Linked DNA regions of Drosophila melanogaster. Changing the gene in region 2 together with the main gene of any one other region gives a genetic interaction. Each region holds a gene or a part of one and is shown on either strand. Other genes may lie near its edges.

The links. Genes that interact genetically often act in the same process or in processes that back each other up.
Region 1: of Kdm5 (region 2) and Su(var)3-9, changing one suppresses a phenotype caused by changing the other (phenotypic suppression), as found in Drosophila melanogaster (one study listed by BioGRID).
Region 3: of Kdm5 (region 2) and htt, changing one suppresses a phenotype caused by changing the other (phenotypic suppression), as found in Drosophila melanogaster (one study listed by BioGRID).

What each region holds. Positions count from the first base shown.
Region 1 is NT_033777.3:15,259,275-15,265,487, forward strand, and holds Su(var)3-9 (suppressor of variegation 3-9), read right to left. Parts: upstream 4,185-6,213; 5' UTR 4,074-4,184; coding exon 4,008-4,073; intron 3,664-4,007; exon of another isoform or gene 3,565-3,663; coding exon of another isoform or gene 3,523-3,564; intron 3,448-3,522; coding exon 3,273-3,447; intron 2,624-3,272; coding exon 957-2,623; 3' UTR 590-956; downstream 1-589. Other genes in the region: eIF2gamma (eukaryotic translation initiation factor 2 subunit gamma), read right to left, coding at 1-109, 176-412, 3,273-3,447, 4,008-4,073; Set, read left to right, coding at 4,413-4,670, 5,079-5,268, 5,331-5,681, 5,745-5,755. UniProt on the Drosophila melanogaster protein: Histone methyltransferase that specifically trimethylates 'Lys-9' of histone H3 using monomethylated H3 'Lys-9' as substrate.
Region 2 is NT_033779.5:5,996,369-6,001,146, forward strand, and holds the start of Kdm5 (lysine demethylase 5), read right to left. Parts: upstream 3,134-4,778; 5' UTR 2,930-3,133; intron 1,397-2,929; exon of another isoform or gene 1,315-1,396; intron 418-1,314; exon of another isoform or gene 346-417; intron 164-345; 5' UTR 123-163; coding exon 1-122. Other genes in the region: Tsp26A (tetraspanin 26A), read left to right, coding at 3,944-4,231, 4,296-4,376, 4,437-4,715. UniProt on the Drosophila melanogaster protein: Histone demethylase that specifically demethylates 'Lys-4' of histone H3, thereby playing a central role in histone code. Does not demethylate histone H3 'Lys-9', H3 'Lys-27', H3 'Lys-36', H3 'Lys-79' or H4 'Lys-20'.
Region 3 is NT_033777.3:28,694,590-28,699,330, reverse strand, and holds the start of htt (huntingtin), read right to left. Parts: upstream 3,090-4,741; 5' UTR 3,000-3,089; coding exon 2,926-2,999; intron 2,660-2,925; coding exon 2,402-2,659; intron 2,339-2,401; coding exon 2,122-2,338; intron 2,061-2,121; coding exon 1,931-2,060; intron 1-1,930. Other genes in the region: snu (snustorr), read right to left, coding at 4,173-4,347, 4,407-4,738.

The sequences.
Region 1 (6,213 bases), on a different chromosome or scaffold from region 2:
TCCTTGATCAGATCGATCTTGTTTTGCAAGATCAGAATCTGTTTCAGCTTCATAATCTCAATGGCGGCCAAATGCTCAGAGGTTTGCGGTTGTGGACAGGATTCATTGCCTGCACATGGAATAGGTAGTAATTTGTATATCTTTTGTCGGTTCAGAGAGATCCAGGGTTACTCACCAGCAATGAGCAGCAGAGCAGCGTCCATCACAGCAGCACCGTTCAACATGGTAGCCATAAGAATGTCGTGACCGGGGCAATCCACGAAGCTCACATGTCGCACCAGTCTGAAGTTGCCGGAGCAGTTGAGCCGAGTGCAGGGCAAGCTGTCGTCCTTGCTGGATGCATCCGATACGAAGCTGGCCGGGCGCGGGCACTTGGGGTTGTCACACTTGTAGATTTTGGCGTTGGCATAACCTAAAAGCAATGCGATAATAATTATGAAGAATATTACAATACATTCTTCGAACTCCTGGCCTGGCAAACACGTAAAATAATCCTTCGTTCTTCACAAGGAATTAAGTGCTATTGCTAACTAAATTCATTTCTTTGATCCTTCCAGATCATTTATACAGCCACAAACAAACATCACTTAATAATCGTAAAATATTTATTGTAAAATAATAATTTGCACTTAATGCGGTAATAATTTCAGCACATTACAAGGTTGTTTGTCAAAACACTAAGTTATTACTAAATTAAAATTTAAGTTTATGAAATGTATACAAGTACAAACTATATAGAATTACTCGTTTTATCCTCTAGTAATATAGATCCTCAAACATAATATAGATCCAATATATCGATATTAGCATTTATTAACAAATAAATAATTAAAACGTCGGAATATAAAATCCAACTAGTAATATATATATATGTTAACAAAAAAAAAAAAGGTTCAATGCAATGATGTCTCAGGTGGGTAACGGCGTGCCATTTAAATATAGTACTTCAAGTCCATTCAAAAGAGGACCTTTCTGCAATTATCAGCTCCGCAGCGGCACTCGACACGCACAGCTGTCGAGAGGTTCTCGTAGGGCACATCTTCGTTGTCCGCGCGAATGTAGTCGAAGCTCAACTCCTCGCCCGCCTTGATTGGACGCAGTGTGAAGAACACGAGGTGCGGCAGCGCGACATTCAGGTGCTCGATCCAACAGGGGAACACGGCGAGATTAGGATCGCAAGAGTGATTGATAAAGTGCGAGATGTTGCCATAGTTAGCTGCATCGATAGTGTACTCGCTATCCTGAGCTGTGTTGTAATCCAAGTCGAACAGATATGTCCTCCCATTGTCGTCATACGCCTTGCCGCGCTCATTTGCCTCATCGCTGGTGATGATCTCTCCAATGTACTCGCACACAAATTCACCCTTACGCAAGGCAGTTGCGGCTCGCACCCCCCATCCGCTGCCGTTGGCGGTCTTAAACAGCACCAACGGTACCTGGCGTCCGTGCTGCACCAGACGGTTGGAGCAGCTTGAATCGCACGAGCAGCGGCTATTGCACTCATAGATGGCACTTCCGGGACGAAGGCGCAAGCGCCGTGTGCTTCGCTCGTAGGCGAACAGCTCGCCGGCGAAGCGGGCACAACACTTCGTAGAGGCAGTACACTCCTCTGTGTCTTCAGTGCACTTACAGCCCACAATCCCCGCTTCCGGCTTGGGCACATCCTTGCCGATTATGTTATCATGTATGTACATGAAATTGCTGTCTATGGTGTCCAGATCAATGTTGTTCTCAACACGTATTGGCGGTGACGGTTTCTCCACATGATTCATGCGCTTCTCGAACAATGCTAGATCAGCCAACTGCTTGCGTCGTACAAATTGGGCCCGCTTGATTTGCATGCTTTTCAGGGCTCGTTCTCCAATTTTCTGCGGTTCCCTTTGGCTTCGACTGCCAGCAGCGCGATATTGGGCGAGCAGTATAAGATCGATCTGCAGATTGAGTGGCTCATAGGCGTCTACTTCGGCCACCGTAATGTTCTCCATTAGTGGCAATGCCTCCAGCTGCTTCTCAAGCTCAGTGGTTATCTTGGCTATGTATATCTCGTAGAGCTGCTGATGCCGCTCCACAAACTTCTCCATTTCGGCGCAGTCGGCCACGTTGGCAAGACTTTCCCAGGTGTTCTCGCTATCATGGTATCCCAGCCATTTGACGAAGAAGACTGGCTGATATTGATCCATCTCGACGCATTCAATACGCTCCACAACGTACTCTCCTTTGGGCGGCCTTTTGGCAATTACTCCCATGTTATTTTTCGACCGCTTGGAGTTGGGAGTTGGGGCGCCCACACAACTGCTGCGTCGACGCTTCAGTTTGGCGAATCCGTTGAGACTGGGTATTTTGTCCACATCATGTTCCTCGCAGCCAAAAACGCTGCCATAGCCGCTACTATTGCTTGGACTCAGTGAGGTCTGACTGGTGCTTCGCCGGGTGGTGCGTCTATCTACACTGGAGGTGGATGCTGGCATGGAAGACGAAGCTGGCTTGGTGCAGAGGCGGCGGAATCGGCTATGTCGCCGCAATTCGGCCAGGTGGCGCAGCATTGAACGCTGTTTGATTTCATACTGCTGTCGCTGCTGCTTGGAGGTCAAAAGATTTTTGATTTTTTTTTCGCTCAAGCGTTCTGCAAATGACAAGTTTTGGACAATTGTGGATTGGATGATGGGTTTGGTGTGTTTTTTTTTTTATTTGGCGGACGCGTCGCAACCGAAAAAATCGTAAAAACAAGAGAAATAGGGAAAAAGAAGAAAAAGATTGGCAATTAATTAAATTGCTGGATCAGTCGTATCAATCAATGTAACAGATTCAAGACTAAGCTAACAGGAAGATATGCTTAATACCAATCTTTGGGAACGCTTTTTAATTCAGCTTTGTAAAGTACAACATTCTAAAGACAACTTCTTTTATCATTTTAGACTACTTAGGCGACGACACAAGGCAACGCGTGCTAATCCAGCAATTTAAGTTAACAAAATACACAAGAATTCGAATTACAAGAGACAATCATTCGCAGAACCCTTTTACAACATTATCTCGATGTAAAGCAGCGACAGAGTTGGCTACGCGGTGTGCCGTCGCGATACGGTGTTAAAAAGTGGTTCTTAAGATAATTATGGGTTATTTTCGGCCAGCCGAGAAGGTTTACAATCTTAGGGCACTACGGGGTTTACGGGCGAGCAGGAAGAATTAACATACGGCTAAATTATTATCAAGTAGAATAATACATCTTAAGATTATATGCTTAGGCTAGCTTACACGGATCCCTGACTCACCCAGCTTGATTGTGATGTTGCGCTCCAGTTCGTTCTTGAAGCGCACAGTCTGCACGCCGGATATGGCTTTGACCACCGTGGATTTGCCGTGAGCCACATGACCGATGGTGCCGATGTTGATGGTCGCCTGTCGGGAGATGACCTCCGGTGATAGAGGCGTTAGTTTAGAGACGTCCTGCAAGATTCCAAATGCAATACGATAAATAAAGGCGCTTTAATAGAGGAAAATCAGAGCACAAGTCTTGTTTACCGCCGCCACACCCCCTAACAAAACATCCCCTCTCAGATGCATGTGTGTATATAGGAAAGCCGTCAATTTTGAGGTTAGAATGTCGCTTGAATTGCATCAACTCAAAATTGATGACAACAGTCAGGTAGTCCTCGCGAAACTGATCTGCTTGCCAGAGCCCAAATACCGCCAGAGTCCGCATCATGCCCATATGCAGAGCCAAAGTTGCGGGATAAACCAAACAGACCCTAAATGTAGCGCCACGTGCTGCATTTTCACCGTGATCTCTCACCCACAACAAATCACTGCTGGCCCTGGCGAAACCCACTGGTATATCCCTCGAAATTGGTCCGCGAACCGTTCGAGACAATCTGGGCGCGTCCTTGCGACCCGCACCCCGCTGTTTTTCCGGGAAGCGGCTCCATAATGACGACGCGTATACTTTCACACACGGGCGGAAAAAAAGGGAAGGCGGCGTCTGGCGGTCGTCTTTGCTGGCTGCTTACCAAGTTGCTGAGGTCCTGCTTCTGCAAGTTCCTGTTCACACCGATCTGGGCTTCAGCCGTGGCCATGTTGCTGATGTTTTCAAAAACGATGCGTATGCAAAATGAAAATAATAATTTTCAGCTATTACAGCTCGGCATCAAATCTCGATATCGAAGAACGATTGGACCCGACAATGCCTATCGATAGTGCTCTAATCATGGTTGGCCAGTGTTGGACACGTCACACCGGTGCCCAACTGCGATGCGTATCGATAGAGTGCCGCCCTATCGATACACTTACAGTTCTTCAGCCGCAAACGAAAGGTTAAAAATCCGCTTCGCTTCTCTTCTGCTCAACTGTACCGCCGCTTTTTGTTCAAATATCTCGGGAATTACGAGCGTACACACAACGGAAGAGCGTGCAGAATGTCGAGCGTGCCAAAGCGAGCCAAGCTGGACGGCGCCCCCGCCGATGGCAACACATCCGCCGCCGCCGGTAACAACGAGGAGGAGTCGGAGGCGTTGGAGCAAATTGATGCCTGCCAGAACGAGATCGATGCGCTGAACGAGAAGGCCAGCGAGGAGATCCTCAAGGTGGAGCAGAAGTACAACAAGCTGCGGAAGCCCTGCTACGAGAAGCGCAGCGAGCTGGTCAAGCGCATCCCCAACTTTTGGGTGACCTCGGTGAGTACTTCGATCCGCGGCCATGTTTGTCCCCTCCGCGTGTTCGTCTGATGGGTTCTAGTGGAGCCGACTAGATCTTTCGAAGCCCTGAAGTGATGGTAATCGCTGCACACATGTACAAGAAATTTTCTCTATTCGAGGCATTTTTTCTTGTTCATCTTTGGGCTGCAATGCCGACACCACCGGCTCCCCGCGCATTTTCCCCCTCCCGGAAAAATCGTGCTATCGATATATCCGTCTGGCCGGGAAATACACAACATAGCACAGTTCAAAATGGCTTCAAATCAAAAACCACTGAAATATTTGCTGCCATAATTGAAAAGAAAAGTAGTGCCATAGGGGCCATAAACATGGCTTTCTGCTTGATAGCATGCATCCCCTAGCTAATCCCAACTGCCATATTTGCAGTTTATCAACCACCCGCAAGTATCCGGCATTCTGGACGAGGAGGAGGAGGAGTGCCTGCACGCGCTCAACAAACTTGAGGTTGAGGAGTTTGAGGACATCAAATCGGGTTACCGCATCAACTTCCATTTCGACGAGAATCCTTACTTCGAAAACAAGGTGCTCACCAAAGAGTTCCACCTGAATTCAGCGGGTAAGTTCTCCCAACGATTGATTCAAATCCGCTTAGCTAACCCATTACTATTTCAATTAAAGCTGCTTCCGAGAACGGAGACTGGCCCGCGTCTACCAGCACGCCCATCAAATGGAAGGAGGGAAAGAACCTGCTAAAACTTTTGCTGACAAAGCCGTACGGAAACAAGAAGAAGCGCAACTCCGAATACAAAACCTTCTTCGATTGGTTCTCGGATAACACCGATCCCGTCAACGACGAGATCGCAGAACTGATAAAAGACGACCTTTGGCCAAATCCACTGCAGTATTATCTGGTACCTGATATCGAGGTGGAGCCCGAGGACGAGGAGGACAACGAAGATAATGATGAGGAGGCATTTGACGACGAGGACGGTGAGGATGGAGAAGGCGAGGAAGAGGAAGAGGATGAGGGTAAGCTAATGGAGTGCCTTTTGAACAGAAGGAATTTACTAACCACCTAACCAACCATTTTAGATGACAAGTAAACTGATTAATGCAATTTCAAATCGCTCGCAACCGAAGGCCCACATTGTTTATAACCACTGGCAACTATAGTTTTCCCGATGGTTATGCAACATTTACATATTCGCAACGATTTAAGGACATATTTAGGTTTCGAAATAAGCAAAAGTCATACATCCATTAAAGAGCAGCAGAAAATGAGAATCACCATTAAATTAATTTAAAACAAATAAAAAGACGTAAATCGAATCTCAAGCCGTGTCTTTTTATGTAAGTAAAGAATTACCAAAGTATTCAATTCGATGTTTATAAAATAATTTATTACTTTATTAATTAATATTTATTAATTAATTAATTATTTAATAGCAAATTAGAGGTGTTACTATTAAGGTAGATTTTGGGTACCCAGAAATACCTATCTTTTAATATATCCTTTAAGAATTACTTTAAAGTCAGAATATCATTTTTAAAATGAAAATTC
Region 2 (4,778 bases):
CGACGTGCCGGAGTTGCTGTTCCATTCGCGGATGCGCCCCCGCCGGATGAGGTGCCGCTCCCGACTCCTCCGCCGCCGGAGTTGGCGGCCGTCGTGTTGTCCGCCTCAGTTTTGGCGGACATAGCTTTAAGATGAGTTCAGATTAAATTTATTCCGCTCGGTTCTGAAATAGAGAATAAAAGTTACGGATGAGTTCACAACTTGGTAATATTAAATTCGCTCCGGAAAGGTTGTTTTCGTTATTAGGGTTGAAAGACCTGTCCCGGTTATTTAATTATTGTGGCAGACACACTTCTTGGCAGTTTAGCTACTTTGTATTTCAGCTTCAACTACAGTACTCATTACCTAAAGTTGCTAGTAAGAAACGGCTTATTGGCAGTTTGTTTATTCTACTTTAAACGGCATAATATACCAATTAAATTCTCCCTAATTACAACGTTATTTAAATTTGACTTTTAAGCCAATGAAAGTTTATCTAAGGTTTGTTTGCAATAACTCAATAATAATTGTAGTTACTGCAGTTTATATATGTATATATATAAATATTTCAACAACTAGGGGTTACTTGTTGTTGGTAGAGCTATTATGGTGGCTTTTCAGATACACACACTCCCGCCCCGCGCCCCTTGCATTAATTAACGATTCGTTGCCCCGTCGACAGATTTAAATTGGTTAATATCCACAAGAGAACTGTCGTCTTAGTTGGACTTTCCTACCGCTCCTATTGATCGGAGAGGGAACCCCTGCGGCCCACTGTATCTACATCAAATCGCCGCACACCTGTGTGTGTGTGTATATGTGTTGTGGTGCCTGCACTCAACCCTCGCAGGTAAACAAACAACATTTACAGAGGTGAAAACTCGACTTTGCGACGGTGCAAGTGCAGTTACCAAACGATTACTTCGGTTGTGAGGTTGTATCCAGTGCCGCCGGCGGGATCGCAGGATGGGCAACTGCACTGGACCTAGGCGAAGTAATGCCTTTCTCGCATGTTTCCCTCCAGGGGGATGTGGCTTCTCCCGAGGAGTAATAGAGAGAGAGAGAGAGAGTGCAGCGGCGATTAGCCAGCAGCACTGAATTTGTTGCATACAAAAGTGGAGCACGCCAATACAGGCACAACCCCGGACACGAACACGGGGGATTTCCTGGCCGTGTGTATGTATAACATAGCGACCAATAAACTTACAAATTCGATAGCGAACATGTATACACCAAGTGTGCAAAAGGGGATTATACTTATACGCATTGTATTCAAAACATTCAGCACACAGGACCTTCATGCACACACACACACACACTAACACAAGCACATACACTGAGCAAAAGGTGAAAGCTGTTATCTACGAATTCAGCTGACGAAATCGAGAAGCGGAAACGAAGCCATGTTGAAAACCACTGTCAACTCCAACTTCCGGCTGGAGTTCCCAACAGATTTTTCGCGTTTGTCAGCTAGACACAAGGAAGCCGCCGCGACAGAGCTTTGCTTTGGTGGTTGTTGTGACGCACACACACTCTCGCACGAATGTGGGGCGCCACTGCCACTGCTGCCACCACCGAAAAGGGAGTAGAAGTGGGTGGGCAATGTGTGCCTGCCTGACTGACTGGCGGTGCGTGCGTATGTGTGTGTGTGTATAGTTTCCCGTGTGCTTGATCAGGAAGAGCCCGCTCTCGCCTAGAGAGAGCGAGATGAGCGACGACGAGTACCGTTTTTGTGTATCAAGTGAGCAAAGTACATCGTCGACAGCGACGCCGGCAGAGGCATGCTACGTTTGCTGCTCTGCTCGGGATAATGGGATATTATTTCCCTGCGAATCCGTTCCAAATCAAAATCGGTGGATTGCGATTTCGGATTATTGATTGGGCAGCACGGCGTCGTGACAAGTGCCATTTTCCAAACTGCAGCCAGCTGTTCGCTGTTAGTGTTGGACGGGGGAAACTGATTTTCCGTTCTGCGGCCGCCGATCGCTCGGAAAAGCAGCCTAAGCCGAAAGCTTCTTTTATATAATTTCCATTTTCAGCCGCGCACACACACCCGCACGCAGCTTACACGGGCACAAACAAACAGCTTACACGGACACGGGGCACGACAGACACAGGTACGCGAATACAGGCACACACATTCGCACCGAGCATGTACATAAATATGGATGGATTTGGCGAAATTAGCACTGGATATTGGTTACTTTCCAGCAGGAGCGCAAAATTTACGCATTTGCCCTGCCATATTGCACATTTCCAACGGTGGGGGGAGTGGCGGTGAGCGGAAACAGAAAAGCTGAACTGATTTTTTTTTTTGGAAGGTGACTGCAGCACTGTACTTTTCGAATAGTAACTCCCCGCGAACAGCTCGACTGGAGCTATATATTCACTATATACTTGAAAGTCACTAAACTCAGTGGCATATATTGGCTTTCCAGGCGTGGGATCACAATATTTTTCGCTATGATGGCGACCGGGCAGCGACGCAACGCACTTTGCAGCGCTGTCGCTGCTCTGCTGGCGTGTGCAATTGGTGCGCGATTTTCCGTCCGCGGTTTTCCACCGTAATCCGTTCATCCGCGACGTGGTTCCTAACCTAGCCGCGACCTGGCGTTGTCTTCTGGCCGCATTTTCACAATTATTACGGATTTTCGGAATCCCGATTGCGCTGCCAGCAGAGGGAACACACATACAAACATTTTCCACGACTAGTGCGGGGGGTTGTTTTCGCTGTTGGCCAACGCAGAGGCTGCAATCCGCACTTTTCCTGATCTATATGCACCGACTTGGCCAGGTGGGCGTCTGCGTTTTGCTAGTTTGTTCGCTTTTCGCTGCTAATTAAACGTTTTCAGCCATCAGAAGTGCCCCTAAACTCACACACTGGCACGCACACAATCGCACTGGGTTCGGGCACTGGGAACTGGGCACCCTACACTGGGCAAAAACTCACTGTCGTCATAGGAAGTCGTTGGAAGACGCGCACGCTCGGTATGTGATCGAAATGAGTGTTCCATAAAACCACCGAGCACGGCACTGGCGAGGTGGCTTTAATGCGAATTTACTTTTCTGATTTCTTTCTCCGATGTCTGCGTTTTTTCCTGCTACATGTGTCCAGTGTGACCCGTCGTCGAAGTGCCGGAAACGTCGATCTGCCCCACAAAAGTTCGGGAAAATACCAGCCACCGTCCGCGTTGTGCAGCACTGGCCTTCAAATCAAACACAGTTTCTTATCGGCGGAGGTCGACGAATCGGATCTCGTCTTATCGCCGACCCCCCGTTTATTGTTTCGTTTCTGTATTAGATTCAAAATCAGTTCGGTCATAGGCGTTACTCAGTCTAGCCGGCGCCGCGTTTAACACTATGCCGGTTCAGGGACAGGACTTGAAACATCCATAGGATCCATCGAGCATATACGCAAGGTTTCCTAAGTACGCTTTTTTAATTAATTTTATGAAATGTGTTTCAATACAGTGGTAAGCTAAAAAAAGAAAGTTTGGCATTCTACAAGAGTGAATTATATTCTAAGTTATTAATATAAGTAAGTGAGCTCTTTTATTGTTTTTAGAATACTGTGTGTTAATTTAAGCCTTGGCTTTAAGAATTTGAATTTGTATAATATATTTAAAATAACCAGTAGACATAAGTATTTAGTTAACGGTAATGCCTATGAAATTGTTGTTGCTCAACTCAACAAATCAGCAGAAAATGAAATAAATACGCAAACTGGTTTCTGTAAAATACATTGTTTATGCAAGATCAATAAAAAAAAAACAAACATCCAAGTTTTAAAGTTCGTAAGATTGAACAAAATGGCGGTTTTCTTGGGAAACGGTATTCTTTGCAACGTATTTGGAGCCGTCGCACTGCGTGATAAAAAAAGTGCAGTCACGGTCACACTGGCGAGCAGAATTTCATACGTTTTTGTTTCCTTTTGGCCATATTTATTATTGTTAAAATTGGAGCAATGCCAGCTGCTGTGCGCAAGTTCCGCCGCGAGACCAGTGAAATCAGCTGCTGTCTGAAGTACCTTTTGTTCGCCAGCAATGTGATCCTGTGGCTCTCGGCCCTGCTGGTCCTCTCCGTTGGCATCTGGGCCTGGAGCGAGAAGGGCATGTTCCGCAACATTGCGCGGCTGCACTTCATCGCCCTGGACCCGGCCTTCGTCCTGATCATCCTGGGAGGCGTCACCTTCCTACTGGGCTTCATGGGCAGCGTGGGCGCCTTGCGCGAGAACACCTGCCTCCTGGGGGCGGTGGGTACCACATTGTTAGTGGATCCCCTCTGGACCTAGTTAATCCTTATTTTTCCGCTTGCAGTACGCCATCTTCTTGAGTGTCTTGCTTATCGCAGAGATCGGCTTCTGTGCCGTGGCCTTCGTGCTCAAGGACAAGGGCTGGGTGAGTTCCATTTGAAGGCCACTATTCTAGCCAGCCATTACTAAGGTTTGCCTTTTCCAGATCAAAGACCAGGCCACCGAGGGACTCAAGGCCTTCATTCGCCACTATCGCGAGGACGCAGACCAGCAGAATCTCATTGATTGGATCCAGGAGGATTGGTTGCAGTGTTGCGGCATTGATGGTCCCAAGGACTGGGACAGCAACAACTACTTCAATTGCTCGTCTATCGCTATTGGCAGCAGGGAGGCGTGCGGAGTGCCATTCTCCTGCTGCCGCAGACGTCCGCAGGAGGTGATCAAGAACAAGCAATGCGGCTACGATGTACGCAAGGAGGGATATGTAAGTCCGCTAGCTGTTTTCCCCCGTCTTTCCGAAATGCATATTGAAATTCACCCACGAATC
Region 3 (4,741 bases), on a different chromosome or scaffold from region 2:
CCAGGTGGACAATCTGGGGGCCATGGAGTACGTTTTCAAAGAGATCAGCAGCGTTTTCAGATTATGAATTGGTCATTGTGCCATTTGTGCTGCCATACCAAGTTGCCATGGAAAATAATTTGCACTTTTTGTTTAGCTCGGCATCAGTCAGTGGGCAACATAAATTTTGCCAGCTCCCCTTTGCATCTGCCGACTTTCCTTTGCTGGCCTCGTTCGGCCGGCATTTGTTTACAACGTTGATTATCCGCTTTAAAGCTGCACAGGAATGAATATCTGATTCAATTTCGCATGAATTATTGCATGGAAGTGTCCAAGTGCATAAATTTCATTTCGTCTACGGGCGGGGAGACAAACAAACGGAGATGGCGTGGGCGAGGGCGGCTCTGCGGTCTGTGTTCTGGGGTCTGGGATCTAGGATCCCGGCTCTGAGCTCTGAGTTCTGAGGTCTGAGCACCGTACTTTGTGTCTGTTTGTTGGGGCATGCCAGAACACAGGCAGCCCAAGTACTATGATGGGTGCCCATAAAAAGAGGCGCCAGACTGTATAAGGATGCGCTGAAGAGTTGCCTGGCATTGTGCCTTTGCCGAGAAGTGGCATAAAGTTGACACAGGACTAGAAGACCGGTAGGCGGCAGGGAAAGGAGCAGAGCTAGAAACCGGAACAGGAGCTAAAGGAGTTGATTTGAAGGTAAACATTTGGACAAGAAAAGAGCAAAGGAAGAGTCAAGCCGAAGCTTAATTTATATGAACTTGGGCGAGGTCAGAATTTTGACTTCCATAAAGGTAGTCCTAGCAAATGAATTAGTTTTCCCAGTCCGGTATATCACTTCAATTGTTTGCAAATGCCAAACACCGAGCTCCTCTGAGGTTTGAACTTAATTTTTTGTTGGACAATGCAGCAGGTCATAAAAAGACGATGGCAAATGTAACGTAACTATGGTGCATTTACCTCTTCGTCGACGTTTGCCAATAATATTTTCATGAAAATTCAATAAAAAATGATTTGTGTTTGCAATTTTTAAGCATTTTCGCATGGCTCACGTTGCCATGACTTTTGTTTTTGCCGCTGCAGTTATTGCTGCAGTCCGCCAGTTAGCAAATGTTAAAATAAAAACTGCCCGCTATCGTTGCCTAAAATCAAAACAAATCTGGAAAAAATATATGTGTGTATATTCGTACATTCGATGGCTCGTCCATCGATTGCGCATGGTAACCAACAGCACTGTAGAAATATAATTTATATCAACTGTCTAGTTACTTTTATTGTGCCACGCCCCCTTTAGCGCCCACAGGCCACAGACAAACAAACCCATGGCTGTGATTGCATTCACAATTCGAGTTTGAATAAAACCAAAAACCATCTATTCCCGCGCTCGCGTAGTTCGCAGTTCGATGGCTTTACATTTTGGTAAGGTATTTTTCATGGATTTGCGGCTTTTTAGAATATTAAAAATATTTTTTAGCTGCAGAGCCAGCACGAACCTAACAATATATGTATATATATGACGATCTATGCGAGGCTTAGTATTTGGCCGTTACACGCTTTTTAAACATCTCTTTCATTATTGATGTGAATATAAAGAGCGTCCTGTTGAACACAAAGTGTCGTAGCGAAAATGCGTTAAATAACTAACAGCGATAGCAGCGAATAGTGAATACGTTTATCCAAAAGTGTACAAACAATAGAGGCTGTTATTAAGGCTGCAATATTGTTAAATTTAATGGTGTTACTCTTTGCGAAATAACAATAACAGCTGACCCTAGAGTTTTGAAACAAGTGTATCATTCTGCTGAATTTAAATTCCTTTTCTAATAGTAAATAACAGCACTCACGAACTTCTCATTTGCTATAGTTGCTAGTAAGGATGCAGTGTTCATATGGATTTTTCGTATTTCTCTCAGAAATTCATTTCCTATTTAAGCTGTCTTACCCATCACTTTGTTGACCCCATGTCTGGCCATGAGGCTCCTATTGCGTGCATTCTCAATCAGACTCATGCAGTTTTGGGCAGAGCAACGACGCTTGACGGCACAATCGGAGCTAATTTGGTCCAGAAAAGTCTGCAAAAGTCAACAAACGCTTAAACATAAAAAGAAAAGACGTTTAGGGATATTATTCTACCTCGAACAGTTTGCAGGATTCGCTATCGCTGAGACCCTGTTGTATATGGCGGCTAAAGTGCTTGACGAAGTCGCAAAGAGTCTCCTGGAGCAACGTCTCCTTGCGCTGGGAAATGGTGGTCATACATTGGAGCAATCTCACGGCATACCACTTGATGTGTTTCTCCTTTATTTGTGGAGCATAGTAGGAGAAAAGGTTTAGGCAAATCCTCAGGGATCTGTGCAGAAAGTTTTTCTTTTTTAAGATTGTTATTTTAGCTTTAATATATTTGCCTCCTTACCTCTGGTTACCATTACGCTTAATTTCACCATACAGATCCATAAGAATGCGACTGACCCGGGTTTTCTCGAGTGACCTCAGTATTTTATTTAGGTTTTCCTCGGCGCTCATCCGAACCACGGAATCCACATCCTCGCAGAACAGCAGCAGAACATTCGTGGCCGTGCCGCAGTGGGCGGCATAGTTGATGTGGCCCGCCAGCGAGGGCGACATGATGCACTCGGCAATCTGCTGAAAGCAGGTGATCTTCTGCTTTTGGCTGTGGGGGGTTCGAAATAAATTAGTTTTATTACAGGTATGTGGCATGACGTCATAGCGGATGCACTTATTGCTCAATGTTGAATGAATGTTTTGGGTGGCCTAACAAGTTGGCAGGTTCATCTTAAGGGCAATAAAACCACCGGAAATCACCTGGGCTTCATAATTTAATCAATATTGTTCCGTAATGAGCAACAAACTGTTGCCGGTCCCCTCCCCAAAACATTCAATGCAACCGAAAACAATCAAATTTCCGTTCAGTCCCACCTGCATTCCGTATTTCGCAGTTGTTCCACGAAGCCAACGAACTTGTCGTACGCACTGGACCTGGATTTGTCCATTTTCGCGTCCTTAATAACGCCTAAAATCGCTTTTTAAGCATAAACAACACAGGAAAACATTGCTCTTTTGTTATGATTTCAATCAGCTGTAACGCCAGTGTTACCAGAGCGCACAACTGCTTTTAAGCGGAACACCAGCGACCAGCCCTGGTATTCAAGTTAGCTATCGTTAAATATTTAAATTTTGAACTAACCTGCTAAATTATCTTTTTAGTTTTGGAGAAAATTAGAAGTGATAACATATTTATTAAATTCCAGCCAGTTGGTCACAATGAGTTGTTATTTCCTGCATTTAAAAGACTGTTATGGACATGCTAGAAAACAGTAACAGTGCATTGGCGCCAATGTTAAAATGAGAACATCTTTTTCAAAATGTAAGTAAACCAACAATTAAATTTAACTTTATTTATTTATTCACGCTTTATTATTATTTATACATAACTGCGTTCACATTAATATTTACTTAAATAAGAACGTTTTTCACTTGTTCGTTGTTCATTGTCTTATGTTTGTTCGTTGTGAAATATTTATGCTCTGCGCAAAATATTTCCTGAAATATATTTTTACATACTCTTTAGGGTTGCGTACATTATTGTATTTAATTATGTTTTACCTTAAAAAACTTAAACCCATACAAAAATGCTTTAAGCTACTTAATGTTAATAACAAAACCCACCATTGTTTTTGTTCGTTTTCATTGTGTTTTCTTTTTGTTTAGGCTTGCCCTACGTGTATTCGCGTGAATTATGTAGAAAAAACAATCACAGTCCATTGAAAATATATAAAATTAGTTGCGTTTGTATGTGATAAACTGCCCGTGTCGGCGTCGAGAAAAGGTCTAGTACAGAGGGTTGCAAATAATGGACATCTAGAGCAACGGATTACTGAATTCGTGACACAAAATATTTACAACATTTCATTTAGGAGTACCTAAACCTTACGCTTTAAACTACGAAAGTGCGGAACTTAGTCTAAGGAAAAACGAGTGCCGAGTGGAAAGCTAAGGAAAGCTGCGAATGTGCTTAAATAATTTATGACATTTGGGCAGATACGAAGGGAAGTGAAACTCGAAAGTGGAATTAAGAAGAAGACCCGAAGTGGGTGTAAACTAATTAGGACGACTTATCGTGTTCTAAAGTTAGGCATCTAAAAGTAGCGTAATATCTGAAGATCCTAGCCGCGTTTGGCTCGCAGCACGAGAAGCGTCAGCACCAGGAAGCCCACAATCCAGGACAGCGTGCTCACATAGCCGATGTACACATCCGACTCCAGTATCGCCCAGCCACGTGTGAGGATGGAGCGCAGCGAAGAGGTGGCTAGCGTTAGTGGCAGGCACAGTGATATGTATCTGGGGGATAAGATTTTTTAAATTTCCATTCACAACAGAGTAATACCACAAGAACTCACCTCAGCACCACGGGCATGCCCTCAATCGGCCAGATCACTCCAGACAGCAGCAGGGTGGGATAGAAGGAGCCCAGCGCCAGCTGTATGGCATTCCTCTCCAGCTCGCACACCGAGGAGATGAGGAAGCCAAAGCACATTCCACACATGCCCTGCAACAGGGTCAGCACGATGACCCAGAATAGGTCGCCGTTGTTGGTAACCCCGAACACCACCAGCATGAAGATCAACACCAGAGTGGTCTGTCCGCACATCACCACGAACTGGGTGATCACGTGCGAGAATAGAATCTCGAAGGGCGAGACGCCAGCCACCCAGGAGCGATCCAACAAGCCCTG